Linked DNA regions of Danio rerio. The protein of the gene in region 3 binds, or shares a complex with, the protein of the main gene of each other region. Links are inferred from orthologs where the notes say so. Each region holds a gene or a part of one and is shown on either strand. Other genes may lie near its edges. The genes, in order: tmem216, tctn1, tmem17, ahi1, tmem107l and cc2d2a.

Region 1 (2,396 bases), on a different chromosome or scaffold from region 3:
TGAGCCATTTTAGGCCATATGGCGGCTATGTAATGCTTTAATTTTGTTGTAGCTTGTTATGTATATTCATGTAAGCTTTGCAAAGGTACAAAGCTAAGTCTCCAACAAAAGGGATTTCTTCTTCAAATAAATTCGGATGTATGCCAAGCTTGGGTCAAAGCTTTAAGATTCTGTGCATGGTATACTGTATCTTTTCCCAATATTCAGATTAATGGCTTTTTAAAACCAAAATAATGTCACTGTTTCCAAAAAATATATAATGAGTACAATTGTTGCTCAACAATGACAAAGAGATCTTCTTGAAAGTAATTATATAAACAGATGTTTTAAAATGTTAATAATATTAATTACTATTAATAATAAGTACTACAGTACTTCTGATTAACTAAAGTAGCCTTTGTTAATATGAGTCTCCTTTAAAAACATTCAATAATTGTATCCCAAATTTTTGATTGTGTGTGTGTGTGTTTGTGTGGTGTAACAAATGAATGACAAATCTGTTTCAATTTACTATTTAATAATGGCTATATTTCTATTTACATAAATACATTTACACTGTATACAATATCTACATAATAAAGGTACTTGTCAGCTTTATGTTTAATTGTAATTCTTGACAGTTCTCTATTCGAAAGGCTGCTGCTTATCCTTGTTATTGAGTGTTCATGTTTTCAGAAGATGGATTTAATAGATGTTGGCCCTGAAAGAAAAATCTGCATTTTAATATTGTTTATTTTACACAGCAAGTCGGTTACTGAATATCCACAAATATGTTCTATTAAGTTTCTAAATAAGTTTTCTCTCTCTCACACACACACACACACACACACACACACACACACACACACACACACACACACACACACAAACACACAAACACACACACATACACACACACACGCACGCACGCATGCACGCACGCACGCACGCACGCACGCAAATCCCAACTCTCCCAGGAAACTATATCCATTTAACATTTTCTAAATACTTAATTCCAAGTAATTTATGAGCCATTTTCCTCATGGGGCCCCCCCAAAAAATACTGGAATGTACTGGAATTGCTATATTACTTTGCTATATTTACTTTTGTATTTTTGATTAAATAAGCGCAGCCTTGGTGATCAGGATAAGCTTATTTTAAAACATTAAAAAAATACTGCCGACTCTCGGTATATTCATTCCATAGATATCATTATAATGTGTGTGTCTCCTAATGCTGAAACTATGGAATAAATATGCACAAAAAAACAACAGCTACCTGGAAAAAATTGAGATTGTCATCACTCCCAGAACCAGCTCGAAGCCATAAAAGCAGAGGAGCACAGCATTGAGGACAAACTCAAGGCGTAAAACGAAGGTCTGAAGCAGCAGGTAGTAAACACTCAACACTGCACATGGCACCAGAATAGCAACACTCACAAACAGAGCCAAAGAACGCTGACACAGGTTCCCCTTCCAGCCTGAAAGACAGATTTTACACACTATCACTACATTTGCAACATGGGGCAATGCACTTTCATCAATTACAACAGTACACAACAAAGAGGGCAGTTATCTCTATTATAATTCATTCATTCATTCATTTTCTTGCCGGCTTAGTCCAAGCGGAATGAACCGCCAACTTATCCAGAAAGTTTTTACACAGCGGATACCCTTCCAGCCGCAACCCATCTCTGGGAAATCTATTATAATTCTTTTTCTACAATCATGCACTTGTGAACACAGCAGGGTTAAACTCTATTAAGAGCTGAACAGAGAATGCGTATTAAAATCCAGTTCAGTCTAAGATTTAAAAATTGTATTTCAAGTGATATTAAACATTAGACAGGATATAAAATTGTAATTCAAATACAGAGTGTTATAAATGAGTGCTTAATTCTACACTGTAAAACCCAACAATCAACTTTATCAAATGAAATGAGTATAGCTAATTTAATTCTACTGACTTGAAAAGAGTTTTGATCTCAGTGTTGAAGGTAATGAGTTATTAAAATACCTTATTACTTCAACTTAAATGGAGTAGGTTCACAGTACTCATATAGATTACTAGTTTTTTTGTAATCGGTTTCCTCAAATGGTTTAAGTTGCCTTAACTTATTGGGTTTAACAGTAGTCAGTTGGTTTGAGTTCTCTTCATTTAATGGGTTTTACTGTGCTCAAATTGCTTCATTTACTAAAATGGATTATGTTCACAGTACTCATTAGGATTTTCTTTTAACTTAAATGGTTTGTTGCAATCGGTTTCCTCAAACAGTTTGAGTTACCTTAACTTTTTGGATTTAGAACTTATACGAACACATATACACACATATTTGGTTTGCTAATGGATTATTTGAACATAATGGATATTTATAATGAATTTAAAAAACTGCATGTGCTAAACAGAACTTTAAAAA
Region 2 (3,988 bases), on a different chromosome or scaffold from region 3:
TGGTTTATATCTGTAAACTGTTGCAGCACTCTGAACAGTCTCAGTGGCGCGCTCGTAAGACGCATGTGATCATGTTTTGACACGTTCGAGCATGAACTCGGCTCGAATCCAGCGTCTGATGAACTCTATCTTCTTTTTTCCCCCCCGCTACATATCATATTTTGCCTACTATTTATCACGAGAAAGACTAGTAGGAATCATTAATAAGTTTGTGCATCATATTTTATTTGCACATTTATTGAATGGAAATGTTTCTGATTCACGCTTGCAAATTCATCTTCAGATAGTGTCTTTATAGCAATGTGCGTGCAGTAGATCGCGCAGATTACATTGGGAAAACAGGCGACTGCTGCAAATTGTGCTTTAATGTTTAGCTGGTCAACTGTATGGTATGGAAATCTTACATACCTACTAGATGAACCCGTCTCATACAGCTGCCATTGCAAGGATCAGACACTTTGTAGAGAAGAATTTAACACAACTGCCTCTAGGAGTCGCCAATGGAAATAAAACAGACACGCACAAAAAATGTGCGTACGCCTGCCAAAAAGCTGCCGTGAACCTGCGCACATTCCCACGTTCAGTTCATTGTTAGTAAATCCAAACGTGAGCGATTCTGAGCGTGAAACCTTGCGTACGCAATGTTTTTGTGCGTACGCAGCGTTGATACATGAGGCCCCTGAATTTTTTTCTGCGTACGCACATTTACAGCTTTGTGCGTACGCTATGTTTTAGTATGATTTCCACGCAAGTCTTCGTACATGAGGCCCCTGGTTATTGAAAAAAATTGCATGCTCAAAACATCTAATCAGATAAGAGGAACCGGAAAGCAATATGGTGTTTACGACATCACAGAGAAGGTAGTGTTTAAAGACTTAAAAGCACAAACTTAAATGCACGCAATTGACAAATAGTCGTAGACAAATGAAATGTTAGTGACAAGGCAGCACTGTCCCAATCGGGCCAGTAATGATCCTGTCTACTGTCCCAAGTGTCTCTCACGCTGGCCCTGGGCCACCGGGCAGTCCTTATTGTTGAGCCCTGTCAAGTATGCAGAGGACACTGTCATTGTCAGTCAACTCCATGATGATGATACAGGTCATGGTCCGGTACTCACTGACTTTGTCAGATGGTGTGAGGAGTCATATCTTCAGTTAAATGTTTTAAAGACAAAAGATTTGATCGTGAATTTTAGGAAGGCTGCTCACTCACAGGTGAGCACTTCCATTAAAAATCAGACTGTGGAAAGTGTGCAATCATATAAATACCTTGGCACAATTATTGACTCTAAACTTTCCTTTGATAAGAATTGTGCAGCAGTGTGTAAAAAGGGGCACCAGCAACTATTTTGCTTGAGAAAGTTAAATTATTTCCATATTGATAAACAGATGATGACTCTATTTTATCACGCTTTTCTTGAATCCGTTTTATCCTTTGCTTTGGTGTCATGGTTTGGGAATCTTTCTGTCAAGAATAAAAACTCACTAAATCAGATATTTAAGTGGTCCAGTAAGCTGACCGGGGTGTCACTAGCCAATCTAGAAGCTGTGTACACTAGGCAGCTAAAGAGAATTACAAATTCAATTTTAAATGACACTGCTCATCCCCATAGAGGTAAAGTTGGTTTTATATTCGCACATTCAGACTTTCCCCTTAATAATATAATTTCATAAAATTATTATTTGCAAACTCTAAATAGCAAACTCATATTAGCAGCCAGTGACTATCAAAGTACAACATTGTTCACAGTCAAATAAACAGTGTAAATGTTGTTTTCAAGCCACACTTGCATGCTAATTCCGGTCGAATATTGAAAGTAACATGGTAAACAATGTAAGGACTTTTAAATGAACGAATGTGCAAATATAAAACCAACTTTACCTCTATTTCATCCCCTACATTCAGAGTTTCAGCTCCTTCCCTCCGGTTGTAGGTTTGTAGTATTAAGCTGTAAAAGGAAACGTTACAAAAATAGTTTCATACCAGCAGCCATTAGACATTTAAATAAGACTTAAGCAGAGATGTTTCAGTGACCTGTATATTTTAGATCATTTTAAATATTTACTTGGGGGAGGGGGGGGGGGGGGGGCACTTAAAGTGATTATTTATTTATTCTTTATGTTTATGTTTTATGTTTTAATGTGCATTTGTTGTTGTTGCTGTGTGAGTTGCTTTGTGTGGCACTGCTGTGAGATGAGGACTCTTGACTGCAAATCAAATCTACCTTTGGGTATAAATAAAGTAACCTACCTACCTATACAGTAAACAGACTGAATACAGAATCAATCAGGGCTGACATCTAATGCCTCATTTGCGTATTTAAACTTGTAATAAAAATAATTGTTGCAATTCTTATGTTATTACTATGCTGTTGTTTACCCTATTGATATTGACATTCAGTGTTTTGACAACTCGGATCAGTTTTTCCGCACTCTTACCTTCAGTGACGGTGACCGGCGGGACACCGGACACGGGAATAGGCGCTGGCGCTGCGGTGGCTCGCGGGGAATCAGGGATCGGGCTCTTCGTGGACTCGTTAAGATCCGGTAATCCGGTCACGTATTCGGGAGTCCTGTCAGTCGGAGCGGGTAAATCTGCTGCAGTAGGACTGACTCCCAGCTCCGTGATGTTAAGCATTTCATCTCGATAATTTGACGTGTGGTTTAAGTCTTCGAGTGTTATATTTATATTTTGTGTTGTGTTCGTGTCTTCGGTGTAGAGCGAGGTTTGTAAATATATCAGAATAACAAGATAACAGAACACCGCCATGCTTGGTTACAGCGCGCTTTCAGCGGTATCCAGGAAGTGAAATGCATTGTGGGAAGGTGCAGGACATTCAACCATTTTTATTGTGGCAAATATGTTTTAATAATAATAATAATAATAATTATTATTATTATTATTATTATTATTATTATAAAACTGCTACACAAAAGACTGCTATATAAAAAAACATCCAGTAATTGCATAAATGAATTACTAATATATTTTTAAATAATAATTAAAATATTAAATATGTATAACAATAAATGCACAAATCTCCAATCAGTGATTTATTTTGGTTTTCATTAATAGTTTGCATTTATTTTCATATTTTATTTTTACATTATAATTTAGCGAATGTTGTCAGGGCTTTTTGGTTGTTTTTATTATAATTATGCTTTAAACAAATATTACTTTATTTAGCATTTTATTTTTGAGTCAAACTACCCAAAACTCAATTATATGTTCTTGCGAATAGCTGACATAAGAAAATATATTATATATATAAAACAAACGAACAAACACACACACGAAAAAAATGGCTAAAAAGCATTTTTATTTTAAATAATAATAATGAAAAAATATTTTTCATTTAGAACAAGTCTATTTTCAGACATGTTTATACTAACTTTACAATACCAACATTTTAAGTTCAAAAAGTCAATAAATCAAGATTTGTTAAAAATTTAATTTACATTTACAGATGCTCTAGATCAAAGCAACTTACTATTGAGGCGGTGTTCGGTGATTCAACAACAAGAGGCTATACACACAAGAAGTGCTAATGGGAAACATGCAGAACTAGTGTTTCTTACCATAATGATTCACTTCTGGTAAACGGTTATTGTGATTTTTTTTTTCAATATTATACTTTTTTTTTTTTACAGCATTGATGTTGTAATTAAAATATAACCAGTTAAATAGACTTCATCGTTTATTTCATTTTTCAACTGTAAAACAAGACAAAAAGCACTTTTATATGCATGAACTGTCAGGATCAGCAGGGTAGTGGAGAAACTACATTGAATTTACTGGGGTAAAATAAACGTCCATATTTTAAAGACATGACGGGGAAAATGTAATTTAATGCAGTGCTGCTTGTACACTCTGAGACCCACTTTATATTGTATATCACTTAAACTTAAACTTGCCGATTTTGTAACAGCATACAGTTAATCGAATGTGCTTTTCCCAGATTACTAAAAATGTATATTTCTTTTGCATA
Region 3 (3,952 bases):
TATAATATTAAATTAAACGTGTAATATTTATTTTTCCATTGAAGATGAGGCAGAAGCAGGTTCAAAAAATGAGGGAGACCACCGAGCATGAGCTAAATCACACAGGTACAGGTAAGACTGTTAATCTGGAAGGGATATGCTAGAGTGTCATACAAAGATAGATGGACATTTAAATAATTTAAATATTGTAAATGCTTTGTTATTCATTCTAAGATGAAACTCCCTCCGAGTCAACTCAGCAAAGTAAAGGTGATGGAGACAGAAAATGTTCAGATTGTCCATCCAACAGTAAATAGTTTCTGTTATTATCCGCAATGTGTAAATGTGAATCACATACATGTAAGATGAGCTTATCAAGATCTTTCAGGACAAAAAAAGTTTTGTTTTTAAAGGTACAGGTAAATATAAAAATGTAAAATGGTAAATAGTTCTGAAATTATTACAGAGTGTACTGTTTTTTCTTTTAATTGTACTTTTACAACAACTAGAAAATTTGTATAAGCAAGAACCCACCCACTTAGTGCCCCTGCCCCTCAAAATGTCTGTGCACGGCCCTGAATTGGTGGTTCATTCTGCTGTGGTGACCCCGGATTAATAAAGGGACTAAACCGAAAAGAAAATGAATGAATGAACCTTGGGTTGCAAAAAAAATATATCTTTTCATATTGTTTCTCAAAAGTGAAGAACCCAAAAAGAACCTTCTTTAAAATAAAGCTCTAAATTCTAATAGAAACCCTGGATCTCAAGACTGAATAAACTGAACATTGAGTAGTGGGCAGGGTTTTATTTTAGTTCTCATACTTGACGTCATCAGAGAAGGACCCCCACACCAGAGCAGAATCAAATAGGAGGTTTTTGATTAAAGATTACCTACAATAAAAATGATCAGCGACTTTACTTAATTGTTCACCTTAACACTACCAATGTCCTCTAGCAAAATAAACATTGTACATTTTTTTACTTCATGCTGACTTAAAGTGATAGTTTAAGCCAGGAATATTAATATTATTCTTTATACACATTGCAGGATAAAACTCAGCATAATGTATCTTATTTCGCCATCATACAAAGCAAGCAAACCTGTTAAGTGCAGCTGAGCAGTGTGTGTGAGTGAGAGTGAAAAACATCCCCCGGTGGTCACAGCTGGACCATCACAACCGCTCAAGAAGATCCGCCTTCGTTGCTACCATAGACTGGTTGCTACGGACACACGTCTGCTTCTCCCAACATGGACCTGCCTGAACCCATCAGGCGACGGCTTGGAGATTTCTCCAGAACCGTGTTTGTGGACCAAAGCCGTACACAACCCTCTTTCGAAGAGCACGCAAATTTTCTAGACCAAAGTAAGTGTGTTTGAGCTTCCATTTGATCTGCTACGTGAACGTTAGCTGTAGGGCTAATTCATCTGGTTAGCCGAGTTGTACGATTTCATGTAGCTTTTGCTAGTAAACATATTTTTTTCTGACGTCATATGCAGATATAATAATGCTTTATGGTAGCATTAATCTTAAAAGGAAGTTGATAACATTTGGCGTTATTCCTGTCTGGGACCTACGAAACTACGTTGCGTTACCAAAAAGCATAATAAATGGTTCGTTTGAATCGGATCTTCTTAATGGACCTTTTCATAAAACGTGATTAGTCAAAAAAACTACTTAAAGTAAGGCAACTAGATGATTTAATAGGTTGACGGAATCGAAATATTTTGGATATCTTTAACCAAGTTTAGTTAGGTAAAACAGCCAAGTGAACAAAGTTACTCATTTAAAACGAACTGTTCAAAAGAACCGATTCGCCAAATGTTATTTTACTCCATCCTATACAGGCTCCGAACACTGATTTATGTATTATTATTATACATATTATATATCTGTGGTTCCGAATCAGGTTATTTAGGATGCCCAAGATTAGTAAAAATGAACTTTATTCAAAGCTAATTTGTCATTTTAATTTTATGCACTATTATTTCTCAGATAAGGATGTAGTATCGAGTCTCCCTCTTCAGATGTCACTCTACTTTAACATGTGGTTCTTTCCTTTCTGGTGGATCAGTGAGGTTGTGATGCTTGACCTAAAGGTGATTCTCGTCTTTGTCATTTTTAACATTTCAATATGATCTTATGGCTGTTTAATCATATTACTGTTGTTAGATATTACAGCTAATAATCATTGTGCTTTTTCTTCTAGTACTCAGCCCTTGCAGATTATTACAAGTTCATCCTGATCACAATTCTCATTGTAATGACCCTGATTGAGGCTATTAGGCTGTATTTGGGCAATGCTGGAAATCTGCAAGAAAAGGTCAATCTTAATTTAATGTAATATCATGTAATATCCTATAATTGGTCCCATTATGCATCTGTTGTTTTTCAGTAGGTTCCAGAATTGGCTGGATTTTGGCTTCTGACTTTTCTACTTCAGTTTCCTCTGATTTTGTTCCAGCTCTTCAATGAGGCTGTTCTTGTTCAACCACTAGAGAGAGGAGTTCATATAATACTGGCCTTATTTATCTTTGCTGAGGTATCTATCTGTCTATCTTACAACTATTTTAAGTGACTATGTAGAATTTTTAACTCCTCATTGTTCAGAATTTGAAGGGATTTCAGTTGTGTACCAACAGAACAGTGTTTTATAAAACACTCAAGACACTTTGACAAAAAGCCATTATTTTGTGCAAAACACAGTGATTAGAGTTTAAGAACAGCAATGATATTGGTTGTAACATAAAGATTACAACTTTAATTTCCAAAGCCTACAACTGCTTTTGTCTCGATTGATTTTACTACATCTTCAGTACAGATTTTCACTCAGGAGGGAAGCACGAAAGCCATATTTTTATGCAGATTTGAATGAAACACTCCACTTCAGGAGGAACAGGCTCAACTTATAAGAGTTAAACAGAAAAGATTTGCCATTTTTTAATCCTTTTAGATGATCACTGGGTCTGGTGAAAACCCTTTTAGCTTCGCATAAATCATTAAATTAGATTAGACCATTAGCATCTTGCTCCAAAAATACAAATAATAACTGGAGATAATTTTTCTATTTAGAGCTTGACACTTTTCTAGTCACATTGTATACTAATGCTGTTCACACCAGACGTGGAAGGAGCGTCAAGCGCAAGTGATATGTTGATATGGCTAAGAACTATACTCTCATTTTGGTGTAATAATCAAGGGACTAGCTGCCATACCAAGGCTGCAGCAGGGACAATGTTAATATGTAGCACTGTTATCTAGATGGGAAATATTTTTTAGAATAAGAGTATAGTTCCTAGTACATAATGTAACTATAGAAGAGTGTGCGTGTATGTATGTATGTATGTATATATATATATATATATATATATATATATATATATATATATATATATATATGTGTATATATATATATATATATATATATATATATATATATATATATATATATATATATTTATATATAAATATAAATTATCTTGTGTAACTTATATAACTTTAAGTTTTTGTGCAAGAGGCTAATGGTCTAATCTGATTCAATGATTTATGCTAAGCTAAGCTAAAAGTGCTCACACCAGACCTGAAGATCAACAGAATTGAATAAAAAATGCTAAAACTCAACTGTTTAAACTTATTTTTTTTTAAATGTTGAGCGTTTCATTTAAGGCTATGATCTTAAACTTTTTTGATGAGGATGATCTGTTTAAATTTAATTTTGAATACATTGCCTGGTCTTTCTTTTTTGTCACTTCTCCGATTTCTTCTTTTAGCATTTAGACGCAGTACTTACAACCTGGGGTGCTTTTCCGAAAACAATTGTTAGCAAACCAAGGTCACAAGTTCCATCGTTACAAAGATAGTTTGTTGATTTGGCGGTTCCCAAATCCGTCGTTCCATTGAACATTCGCAAACTGCATCACAAACTTGTAAGCTTACAACTAAACCTCTAGGGCTGTAGTTAGATGCATTGCTCC
Region 4 (3,500 bases), on a different chromosome or scaffold from region 3:
TGTTTACATGGACATCTGTAGTCGAATTATTTGCCAAATTATTAAATGGTGGACTTTAACTGCAGTTTGGCTCTTTCATTCAGGGAATTCATTAATGTCCCTCCCGACAAACGAGATATTTGATTCGAGGAACAGCTCTAAGCGTGTATTTTTCATGCAATGTTTGATACTGCACGGCGAATGAGAGAAAAAAAAACTCAGCATTTCCCGGAAACTTAGATGCACTCGGCAGGTAGTGTCAGAAAGCCGTGTGTGTTATTCCGGTCACAAAATCCAACACGAGGTTATAGTTTGGTTGTAACTGTTAGTGCTAACTATTGCACTCGGTGCAATAGTTTGTTTGATACGAATAAAATACGAACTGAATAAACAAAGAGCACTGGTCGCTCACTTACCAAATCTGTAGAGACAGGACAATCACCAGCAACTAGAGCCGCGTCTTTATTTAGAGAAGACTACAATCTCAGCGTTTGCAGATGAGAACAGCTCTCAGGTAAATAATAATCCTCCTTAGACACGTAAGTTGTTGTCGCGCGTCGCGTACACTGTTAATCCACATGTGAGTCTGCGCTCTCACAGAGAGAAAATGAAAACGAAACTTAACTGCAGCAAACTATAAAAGCAACACTTCACGCTTGTTTTGCCAACACAACGTGGCGTCTTTGCCGTCTACACTGTGACAGTAATGAATATTAATGAAGTTGCACAATAGAGCGCGCTGATTGGTTTGAACCAAGCCTTACTCATGCATTAATGCATCACACTGTAAGACGTAATAAGACTCACTCTGGCACAGACGCCCAGTCTGCACGCTGGAATACACGCTATTATGTCATGACCGTGACGCAGCTTCAAAAATTCGTTTCAAACAGGAAGTACGAATTTGCTTGAAATAACGCAAAAACAACCAATTTACACTTTTTAGTGAAATATAGGTGTCTTAATAGTGTTTTTAGCAGTGTGGTACACATATACGACTGTCAACAGCTCAAAAAATGTGTTTTGGTGTTTCGTGACCCTTTAAAGAACATTGTAAACAATACGCTAATACACTTCAGTGTGGTTCAAAACATTTTTTACTATAAATTACTATTGTATTATAGTTTAATTACTGGTGTGTGGGACCGGTACAGTACTTTAAAACTGTAGAAATGTATGTAATCAACTCCAAATCTCTCGCTATACACTTTACTAACACATTAGGGTGTTTAAACCTTTGAATCAAAATTCGAAGCAGTCACGTGGGTATAGGCGAAAATGAAGCTTCGGACGTCACTGATCACGTGATGATGGCAAAACGAATCAAGCTCCAGTACACTGCAAGATGCATCGTTTTTTTGATACATGCTTCAAAGCCTCGGTGCACAACGTCACATTACTATCAGAAACTGCTGATCTACTGGGATTTTAACGCATAACCATCGCTAGGGTTTACAGAAAATGGTCCAAAAAAGAGAAAATATCCAGTGAGCAGCAGTTCTGTGGGTGTAAATGCTTTGTTGACGCCAGAGGAGAATGGCCAGACCGATCTGATAGACGATCTGATAGACTCGTTACAACTGATGTCTCCAGAAGAGCATCTCTGAAATTTTTGGGTGAACTATCCCTTTAACTAATCAGATATTAAATGTTATTATGACAAACATTTAAGTATAAAGTATTAAAAAATGCAAGACAGAGAAAAGACAACATGTAGTCACATTATACTCACTTATGATAGGAAAAGCATCTCTATCTGCACACGCAGCTGCTAGCGCACGTCCATCATGTGAGAAACAGAGAGTAAAACAGCCCATCTGACCTCCACGGAAAGAGTGCATTGGCTTATTTGGGATCCGGCACACCTTAAACAAACAATGTCAAAAATTATTAGGCCAATTAAAAAGATAACTGACCCCGATTTACACTGATAAAGCAAATAACTAAAACCTGTCCGGGCATACGGCTCCACTTCATGGTTTCTGCTTTGCTCTCCTGTATCTGAGTGCTGGTTTTATTGGTCATCTCAGAATTGAGCTCACTGTAGGAGGTGCTGCCGCGCTCCTGCTGCAGAGCCATCATGGAGCGGATACCGGGGTCAACCTTTGAAACAAACCAGATCAGATTCAACTTCACTGAGCAACTATTTTTAAATAGTCTAGTCCTTTCTTTGCTAATGTTCTACTAATATATACTACAGTTTTGTTTTTTTTGCATATTTACTTTGTAGATCCTGTAAGATCTACTAGATCATCATCTACATCAAACAGCCATGCGCTTATGGCGTATCCTGGCCTAAAATGCAGCTAAAAGTCCTACATGGTGGTAGTACTTTGATTAAGATGTTTACACGTCTGTAAATAATGCGACTGAAATAGAGGAATACTGCACATGACTTAATTCGATTTGTGTTTACTACAATTATGACTTCAGTCGGATTAAGGTTATCAAAAATCTCTGTTTACATGGTAGACTCTTAATCAGAGTATTGCCTTCATCGTATTAAAACAAAAGTATTGGTGTCCTTGTAAACATACTTAATGTTTTGTCAGACATCCCTAGTTAGAAAAAGTCCATTCACGGGGGTACAGAGTTAATTTGGGGGGAGGTAGTGAGTGAGCAAAGTATCTGAGTAGGGGGGCTTGTGCGCGCGAGATGTACCTGAAGAGCGGTGAGAGTTGCGCGCGCGACGTACCCGAATAGAGAGTTGCAACGCGACATACTTGAAGAGTGGTGGGGGTGAGTTGCATGCGACGTACCTGAAGAGCGGTGGGGGTGAGTTGCGCATGACGTACCTGAAGAGCTAGGAGGGATGCAGTGGAGTGAGGGGTGTGCAACGTATTTAAAGACCGGGCAGGAGACGTGCGATTTCCGGGAGATTATTATTCATTTGCGGGCATCTGGGAGTGTCTATGCATTTGAGGGATACTCCCGCAAGGTCGCAGGTCGCACACCAGAAGCACCGCTCGGCGGCGCGCCGTGCAGCGCCATGCATTTTAGAATTCTAAACATAGATTTCTATCAGGATACACACACCGGCGCCGCAAGTCGGCAGCTGTCGGCGGCGCCCGCCCACGACTCAGGACGCAGTTCATTTTTCAGCCGCACCACAGAGCGCCATCTGATTAGTTTCATGTTAAATATCATTTGAATGTGCGCGTCTGGTGTGCGATACTTTAATCTGTCATGTGCCACCCTGTCGTGGCGCCAAGCGGCGCTTCTGGTGTGCTACCTGCTTAAGTGTCTTCTTGTAGGGTATTCTTTTTAAATGAGGCAAATAACTAATTCTAACTGTCAGAATGTTTCTATGGCAACAAAAATTTAAAAGAAGCTAAATGACTAGGCATTAACTTATGGATTCTGAATACTAATATTTAGTAGATGATCCAGCACAACAATGTATACCTACATGTTCTGGTGGTTTCAGGCCTTTCACGGTGACATAGAGAGTTGAGGTGTATTTGTTCCTTGGGTACTTTGACCACCATTGAAAGACTTCCACCGTTTGTGGTACTTTCTTC
Region 5 (4,024 bases), on a different chromosome or scaffold from region 3:
CCGAGGTTCGAACCAGCGACCCAGCGACCTTCTTGCTGTGAGGCGACAGCACTACCTACTGCGCCACTGCCTCGCCCAAGCAAAAACTTGTTTTTCAGAAATAAAAATAGTTTTTGCTAACAAAAATTTAAAAATTCAAAGGAAAATTTATTTTTGAAAAATAAAAATTACATTTGCAAACAAAAAAAGAACTGAAAAAAAAAATATATAAATATTTGCAAAACATTTTTAGCCTTGACCTAACCCATCCAGTCAACTGCAATGCTCATTTTGATTTGACAAAGGGGTGGAGTCAAGGGAACTTGGGCGTTTACGGCAGGCCTTAGGTAAACCTCTAAGTTCCCTTGACTCAGTCCCCTTGTCAAATCAGGGCCACAAAGTGAAAGGCGCAGAAACGTGAAGTACAAAGTGAAAACAGCATCACAAACTCACAGTTGACTAAAATCTAATTAAAATGACAATTGCAACTGACCGGGCAGGTTTTGTAAAAGCAATGCTATAAAAATGTTTTGCAAATATATATAGTTTTTTTTTGATTATTGCAAATCTTTTTGTTTTGTTTTTTTACTGCTTGATGTTTATTTGCAGTTCCTTTTTTGTTTAAATTTCATTTTTATTTCTCAATTTTCCCCTTTGCAGTTCTTTATTTTTGTTAGCAAAATGTATTTTTTATTTTTTTCATTTACATTTATTTATTTTTTGCTCAATACTTTATTTGTTGTTTGCAAAGTTTTATTTTATTTTGCACGTACAGTTGAAGTCCGAATTATTAGCCCCCCTTTGAATTATTATTTTTCCAAAAGGGTTTTTTCTTCTGGAGAAAGTCTTATTTGTTTTATTTCGGTTAGGATAAAAGCATTTTTTTTTTTAAACACCATTTTAAGGTCAAAATTATTGCTCTTTAAGCTATATATTGTTTCGATAGTCTACAGAACAAACCATGGTTATACAATAACTTGCCTAATTACCCTATCCTGCCTAGTTAAACCAGTTAACCTAGTTAAGCCTTTAAATGTCACTTTAAGCTGTATAGAAGTGTCTTAAAAAATATCTAGTCAAATATTATTTACTGTCATTATGGCAAAGCTAAAATAAATCAGTTATTAGAAATAAGTTATTAAAACTATTATGTTCAGAAATGTGTTGAAAAAAATCTACTTTCCGTTAAAAGAAATTGGGGAAAAAATAAACAGGGGGGTAATAATTCAAAAGGGCTAATAATTCTGACTTCAACTGTATATATGGCCCTAGATTGACTTTATATACCAGGTAGGTCTTGACCACATTACAGCTCCATATAATTTTTTACGACCCATGACTTCAGGTAATTTACTGTCAAAAATCTGAACAAAACAGAAGACTTTGGATGAGATGTGTAAGAAACTAGTACTAGACACACATATGGGAGCTGTTTGCGTTAATCATAAGTTGAAGATTTGACTCCGATCCATGAAAATATAAGAAAATAATACACAATTTATATGCATCAACACCTACAGTATATATATAACCTATAGTGGTGATGTGCTACTGGTAAGGATACACAGAAGAGCTTGGTTGTTGTTGAACATAGAGATTCCACAGAGAAACCCAACCAACTCGATGGCTAACAGGCCAAGAGTCACGGATAATGCCACCACAAGCCTGTATTCCAAAAACAATGGTTAGGACAGCGTCATGAACAGGACTTACTATATCTGACTCCATAACATTATTCACATCTACATATAAATAATGTACAATTTACTATCAGTCAAACAATAATATGCTGTAAATGGGTCAAACAAGAAAAGCCATCAAAAGATTTTAAAGTATTTTGTTTCATAAATTAAAAGGTACATTTAATTAACAATTAAAATACATTCTGTATTGCGGAATGAAAAAAAAAAAGACTATTTTAGTTGAAATCTTGCAGGTTGTAATTTCTTTTCTTTTTTGGATTATTTTGCTTGAATGTAATTGTAATATCTTTCAATTTCTAAATATGTTTGATGACTAAAATATTATTTGAATAAATATATCTGTTTAATAAATCTGTTTTGTTTCAAAGGGGTGTACTCATTTGCTGAGCACTGTGCATATATCATGCACTTGATGCTATCGCATTCCTAGGTATACCCCAACTGCATTTTGTTGCCTTGTACATGTATAATGACAATAAAGTTGAATCAAAAAATACTATTCAGTCTCACTACATGACCGAAATAATTATATTATCATTTAGCCACTGTGAAGCAATACAGAACAGAGAAAGTGTGTTTCCCAACCGTGTGTCCTCTGCTGTGTACTCTTCATTAGTGTAGTCGAGTGGTAGACAGGCTCGGACACTGTACTCCTGTAGGTCATTCCACATTTAAACACACAGCTGGCTGCAGTGATGTTGTGTGATATAAAAATAACAATTACACACACAAGAACACTTCTTACCCGAGACCAGAAAATGATTATCACTATTACAAGGTGCGCGATGAGAGTGAGGAAACGGGCAGGCACCAGACTGCTGACCACCGACATTGAACACTAGACAGAGAAGAAAGACATAATAACTTAGATTGAACTGTGCAAGTGGATGACTAACAGTTAAAGGTTTAACGTGTTCATCTTCACAAAACGTGAGGTTGTATATCAAAATGGTATACGTACCAGCTTTGCGTTAGTTGTTAAAACCTGATTTTTCAAATGGTGAGCAGTAAAGTAGATATAGCACTGTATATAAGGCTACTATGCGTATAAGTTTATCAAGCTTGAGGACAGTTATCGCTCGATATAAGCTTCGGGTTGCTACGACAACACTCTTCTTCTATTTGGCGAATGGGTTATGGTCAAAACAGACCAACAAGTAGCTCAATGCTGTCACCTGCTGGAAGGAGTCGCTTTCTGACTGGTCCTCAACTTGGTTTTACAATGTCTCAAAATGTTCATTCATTCATTTTCCTTCGGCTGAGAGCAGGTACTAAAGGTGAAATAACTTGAAAATGGTGAACTGGAACATGGCAGCGCAGACAAGTAGTAAGACAATTGGAAAAAATTTATTTCAAAGACTTCATTATTGTGGTCAATAGGGAGCACTATCAAGGTGTTCGAGGTGTCTTAAACAAGCCTTTTATTCAGTCATTCATTTTCCTTCAGCTTAGTCTCTTTATTTATCAGTGGTCGACACAGCGGAATGAACTGCCAACTTATCCAGCATATGTTTTACACAGCGGATGCCCTTCCAGCTGCAACCCAGCACTGGGAAAATCCATACACACTCATTCAAACTCATATACTATGGCCAATTTAGTTTATTCAATTCACCTATAGCACATGTCCTTGGACTGTGGGGGAAACCGGAGTACCCGGAGGAAACCCAAGCAAACACAGGGAAAAAAGCATCTGCAGAAATGTCAGCCGGGACTCGAACCAGCAACCTTCTTGCTGTGAAGCGACAGTGCTAATCTCGAAATGAAATGCATTTAAACAAACTAAGTTGTTTTTTGTTTTACGGTCTCATTTTTACAGTGTATCTATAGCATAAAGTACTGAGTGGCATTAATTAACGATATGGAGTACTTACTATGGTTATGGGTTTTTGCATGTGATTATGCATAATTTATTGGTATTATAGTAAGTGCATAAAACGTGTGTAATAAGAGCCCTATAAGTTAAAAGGATAGCTCACCCAAATATAAAAACGTGTTTGCTGTTTATTCAAGTGGTTGTAAATCTTTGTGAGTTTCTTTCTTCTGTTAAGCGATAAAGGCAATACTTTAAAGAAAGTTGGAAACCTGTAACTTCCATAGCATTTGTTTTTCCTATATGGATGTCAATGGTTGCAGGTTTTCAGCATTCACAAATCAACAAATAAATGAATCATTAGTTTTTACTGTAGCCTACAGCCAGACGTCGTTGGTCTAGTAAATAATAAATAAATACTAACTCAGTGGTTTGCTATCAAGGGCATTTGCTGTTCTGGAAGGCAGTAAAATATTAACCTTAGAGTTAAGAAATTGAGAATAGACAGTTTTAGGAAGACTTTTTTTTT
Region 6 (4,042 bases), on a different chromosome or scaffold from region 3:
GTATAATGGAGTGTTTTTGGAGTTGAGAAAAAATACATGAAAGCCAAAGCTCAGAAGGCAGAAAACACCCTTTTCTGAATTATGATTAAAACCATCTGAAGAGGATCAAATAACACACATCACAGAACATGGAAATATATACTCACCACATCAGGTCATTTTGCAATCTTTAGAAAAAAATAAAAATAAGATAAATAAATAAAAACTCAACAGCTTTACTGCAGATCTCCGTTGTTTTTCTGCTCAGTGTTTCTAAAAATACAGCAAATGTTTTTTTGTCCAATTTGTTTGTAACAACCAATGACTTCATGTTTTATAGTTCTTATGAGGGTTTTAGTAGGCTATGTGAGTAAAAGAGTATGACACAGTATTTTAAGTATATTCTATCTTTGTAATTTTTTATGGATAAAAAAAGATGCAAAATTGTTTCTTTTTCTTGAACACAAAATGCACACATATATGAAAGATTAAGCTTCATTCTTTCCAAAACATGTTTAGCAGGATAAATTCTATGGAGAATTTGCCCGCGTCTCATGCTTTTTTTTTTTTTTTTTTTTTTTTTTTAATATACGAAAATGAGAATATACAATCACAGGATGTTAACAAGAAATTGAAGAGACAAAAAGAACAACATTTTTGGAAAAAGAAATAACTACAGATAACAAAAAAATAAACAAACAAACAAAAAAAAAAAAACAGGAGGGGTAAATACATTACACGTTAAAGAAAAATATTATATAATTTACAAATTTCAGTTATTTTTAAAGCCTTTTTTGAGAAAGAGTTAGACACTGTTTCAAAGTAATACTGCATTTCAGTAAGCAAAATATTAAAAAAAGGTTTTTGGTTTGAAAATTTACATTTATGGATATAAAATTTTGTTAACAAGACAAGAAGATTAAGAAAATATGTTTTCTTTTTATGTAAAGCCCCCGTTCCATAATCAACAAAACCAAACAAAACATTCTCCCACAGCAAGGAAAATTCCTCATCAACATTCTCAATTATAAAAAGTAAGAAGTCTTTCCAAAGCAACCTAGAGTAATTGCATTGCCAAAATAAGTGAACCAGGGACTCAGGGTGCTGCCCACAAAATGAACAATTAATATTAATATTTTTTTATATTCATGCAGGATTGAGCTCGAGCTGCCGCGTGACGTATCCAGATTTGGGTGATTGACGGGCCTGTGGGCCAATGAGAACAAACGCTGACGTGAAAGGGATGATCCGGACGCAAACCGTATGTTCGGTTGTAGATTATTTACACCCGTTACCAGGCAGCGAGACGGCGCACGACGGTAAAGCTAAATACAGATTTATTACATTTACTAACTATTTCAGTGGAATAATTCTATAATCTGGAAAGTTTCTCTTTTGTCTTTTGAGCAGAATAATGTTTATTTCCTGCCTCGAGCGACTACAGTCTGCTGTTAATAAGAGATTTCGGCTAACGTTACTTTATAAAAGGCTGTTGCTAACTTTAACTTTACTCAACTAATGCTATGCAGTTTATCCCTCCATTATGAATGTTTTATTAACGAACCGTGTCATCCAGGAGCTGCTGTGAGGTCCACACTGAAGATCTGAGATGTATTGGGAAGATTTCTGACGTCAGTAACGTTTAATGCATAACGTTAGAGCACAATGTCATCGCCAGGGTAACTGTTAACATTAATCTGTTTTTATTTTTTACTATACGTTAACTTGAGTATAAGCTTAGAGCAATTCTGTTTTACGGCTGTTTCTAAGTTTAAGTTGTCCTGTTGTCCTCAGTGATGTACGAGAGAAAATAAAGAAGAAGAGGAGAGAACTGCAGGAGTCTTTAGGAAAAGTCAGGGATGATAAACAGGTAACAACAGAGTGCGGTATTTCTATGTTAAATATACTTACACTCACCGGCCACTTCATTAGGTACACCTTACTAGTATCGGGTTGGACCCCTGTTGCCTTCAGAACTGCTTTAATCCTTCGTGGCAGAGATTCAACAAATATTCGTGGCACTGCAAATATTCCTCAGAGATTTTGCTCCATGTTGACATGATAGCATCACGCAGTTGCTGCAGATTTGTCGGCTGCACATCCATGATGCCAATCTGCCGTTCCACCACATCCCAAAGGTGCTCTATTGGATTGAGTTCTGGTGACTGTGGAGGCCATTTGAGTAAAGTGAACTCATTGTCATGTTCAAGACACCAGTCTGAGATGATTCACGCTTTATGACATGGTGTGTTATCCAGAAGATGGAGACACTGTGCTCATAAAGGGATGGACATGTTCAGCAACTATACTCAGGTCGGCTGTGGCGTTGACATGATGCTCAATTGGTACTAATGGGCCCAAAGTGTGCCAAGAAAATCTCCTCCACACCATTACACCACCACTACCAGCCTGAACTGTTGATACAAGGCAGGATGGATCCATGCTTTCATGTTGTTGATGCCAAATTCTGACCGGACCATCCAAAATAGAGGTAAAGATGGTTTTATATTCAGACATTCTCCTTAATAATATAATTTCAAAAAAGTATTCTTTGCAAATTCTGAATAGGGAAATCATATTGGCAGCCAATGACTTTCAAAGTACAACATTGTTCACAGTGAATTAGATAGTGTTAATGTTGTTTAGAAGTATACTTGCATGCTACTTCCGATTGAATATTCAAAGAAACATGGTAAACAATATAGAGACTGTTTAATTAATGAATGTGAGAATATAAAACCAACTTTATCTCTATGCATCCAAATGTGTCAGCAGAAATGGAGACTCATCAGAGCAGGCAACGTTTCTCCAATCTTCTATTGTCCAGTTTGGTGAGTCTGTGTGAATTGTAGCCTCAGTTTCCTGTTCTTAGCTGACAGGAGCGGCACCCGGTGTGGTCTTCTGCTGCTGTAGCCCATCCGCCTCAAGGTTGGACATTTTGTGTGTTCAGAGATGCTCTTCTGCAGAGCTCGGTTGTAATGAGTGCTTATTTGAGTTACTGCTGCCTTTCTATCAGCTGGAACCAGTCTGGCCATTCTCCTCTGACCTCTGGCATCAACAAGGCATTTGCGCCCACAGAACTGCCGCTCACTGGATATTTCCTCTTTGTCGGACCGTTTTCTGTAAACCCTAGAGATGGTTGTGCGTGAAAATCCCAGTATATGAGCAGTTTCTGAAATACTCAGATCAGACCATCTGGCACCAAAACCATGCCTCGTTCAGTCACTTTAATCCCCTTTCTTCCTCATTCTGATGCTCACTTTGAACTGCAGCAGATCGTCTTGACCATGTCTACGTGCCTAAATGCATTGAGTTGCTGCCTTGTGATTGGCTAATTAGAAATTTGCATTAACGAGCAGTTGGACAGGTGTACCTAATAAAGTGTCCGGTGAGTCTATAATGCACAGTTATTGACAATAACGTTTAGGTGTCAAGTTGTAAAGTTGAAGTAAACACTTTTAAACTATAATAAACCAGACAAATGGGTTGAACCTAACTTAGTGGTTCTAAAGGATAGTGGCAAAGTATAGTTAAAGGTTTAAGTTTGGGGTCGAACTGTATTCTTATATAGTTATTTAATATGCCATAAAGTGAGTCATTTTCTGAACATGCCTGACAAGATTTCATGCAGTGTAAATTGTTGTTACTCTCAATGACTAGTGCTGTCTTCTGTATGTCATAGTTAAAATGTACTAATGTCATTGTTTCAGTAGAAAAAGTAAATAAAAAAAACTATTTTGAAGGTACAGTTAACACAAAAAAATGACATTTTCTCTTCCTTTACTTGTTTGAAACCTGTATAAGTTTCTTCTGTTGATATACTGAAGAATCAACAGCCATTAACCTCTATTGTATATGTTTTATTTCTACTATGGATGTCATTGGCTGCTATTCCCCCATCATTCTTTTGAATATCTTCTTTTGTGTACAACAGAAGAAAGAAACTCATAAAAGTTTGTAATGTCTTGACTGTGTGTAAAGGAAGAGGAAATGTTCATTTTCGGGTGAACTGTTCCTTTAAATGGACATAGTGTAATCTTTAAAACGTGCATTTCCCCTCTTG

The links.
Region 1: tmem17 (region 3) and tmem216 share a complex: the UniProt entries of both Homo sapiens proteins name them as parts of the tectonic-like complex. The link is inferred for Danio rerio from reciprocal best matches to the Homo sapiens genes TMEM17 and TMEM216.
Region 2: tmem17 (region 3) and tctn1 share a complex: the UniProt entries of both Homo sapiens proteins name them as parts of the tectonic-like complex. The link is inferred for Danio rerio from reciprocal best matches to the Homo sapiens genes TMEM17 and TCTN1.
Region 4: tmem17 (region 3) and ahi1 share a complex: the UniProt entries of both Homo sapiens proteins name them as parts of the tectonic-like complex. The link is inferred for Danio rerio from reciprocal best matches to the Homo sapiens genes TMEM17 and AHI1.
Region 5: tmem17 (region 3) and tmem107l share a complex: the UniProt entries of both Homo sapiens proteins name them as parts of the tectonic-like complex. The link is inferred for Danio rerio from reciprocal best matches to the Homo sapiens genes TMEM17 and TMEM107.
Region 6: tmem17 (region 3) and cc2d2a share a complex: the UniProt entries of both Homo sapiens proteins name them as parts of the tectonic-like complex. The link is inferred for Danio rerio from reciprocal best matches to the Homo sapiens genes TMEM17 and CC2D2A.

Annotation. Positions count from the first base shown.
Region 1 is NC_133189.1:29,306,907-29,309,302, forward strand, and holds the end of tmem216 (transmembrane protein 216), read right to left. Parts: intron 1,461-2,396; coding exon 1,259-1,460; intron 701-1,258; coding exon 685-700; 3' UTR 501-684; downstream 1-500. UniProt on the Homo sapiens protein: Part of the tectonic-like complex which is required for tissue-specific ciliogenesis and may regulate ciliary membrane composition.
Region 2 is NC_133185.1:8,987,231-8,991,218, forward strand, and holds the start of tctn1 (tectonic-1), read right to left. Parts: upstream 2,801-3,988; 5' UTR 2,770-2,800; coding exon 2,439-2,769; intron 1-2,438. UniProt on the Homo sapiens protein: Component of the tectonic-like complex, a complex localized at the transition zone of primary cilia and acting as a barrier that prevents diffusion of transmembrane proteins between the cilia and plasma membranes.
Region 3 is NC_133200.1:30,968,231-30,972,182, forward strand, and holds the start of tmem17 (transmembrane protein 17B), read left to right. Parts: upstream 1-1,152; 5' UTR 1,153-1,228; coding exon 1,229-1,343; intron 1,344-1,973; coding exon 1,974-2,077; intron 2,078-2,187; coding exon 2,188-2,301; intron 2,302-2,376; coding exon 2,377-2,520; intron 2,521-3,952. Other genes in the region: PKc_like domain-containing protein, read right to left, coding at 1,081-1,127. UniProt on the Homo sapiens protein: Transmembrane component of the tectonic-like complex, a complex localized at the transition zone of primary cilia and acting as a barrier that prevents diffusion of transmembrane proteins between the cilia and plasma membranes.
Region 4 is NC_133192.1:9,398,218-9,401,717, forward strand, and holds part of ahi1 (jouberin), read right to left. Parts: coding exon 3,389-3,500; intron 2,083-3,388; coding exon 1,930-2,082; intron 1,845-1,929; coding exon 1,712-1,844; intron 1-1,711. UniProt on the Homo sapiens protein: Involved in vesicle trafficking and required for ciliogenesis, formation of primary non-motile cilium, and recruitment of RAB8A to the basal body of primary cilium.
Region 5 is NC_133198.1:31,419,244-31,423,267, forward strand, and holds the start of tmem107l (transmembrane protein 107 like), read right to left. Parts: upstream 2,801-4,024; 5' UTR 2,644-2,800; intron 2,521-2,643; 5' UTR 2,515-2,520; coding exon 2,428-2,514; intron 2,336-2,427; coding exon 2,268-2,335; intron 1,645-2,267; coding exon 1,544-1,644; intron 1-1,543. UniProt on the Homo sapiens protein: Plays a role in cilia formation and embryonic patterning. Requires for normal Sonic hedgehog (Shh) signaling in the neural tube and acts in combination with GLI2 and GLI3 to pattern ventral and intermediate neuronal cell types.
Region 6 is NC_133198.1:2,297,536-2,301,577, forward strand, and holds the start of cc2d2a (coiled-coil and C2 domain-containing protein 2A), read left to right. Parts: upstream 1-1,242; 5' UTR 1,243-1,298; exon of another isoform or gene 1,299-1,555; 5' UTR 1,556-1,644; coding exon 1,645-1,658; intron 1,659-1,773; coding exon 1,774-1,849; intron 1,850-4,042. UniProt on the Homo sapiens protein: Component of the tectonic-like complex, a complex localized at the transition zone of primary cilia and acting as a barrier that prevents diffusion of transmembrane proteins between the cilia and plasma membranes.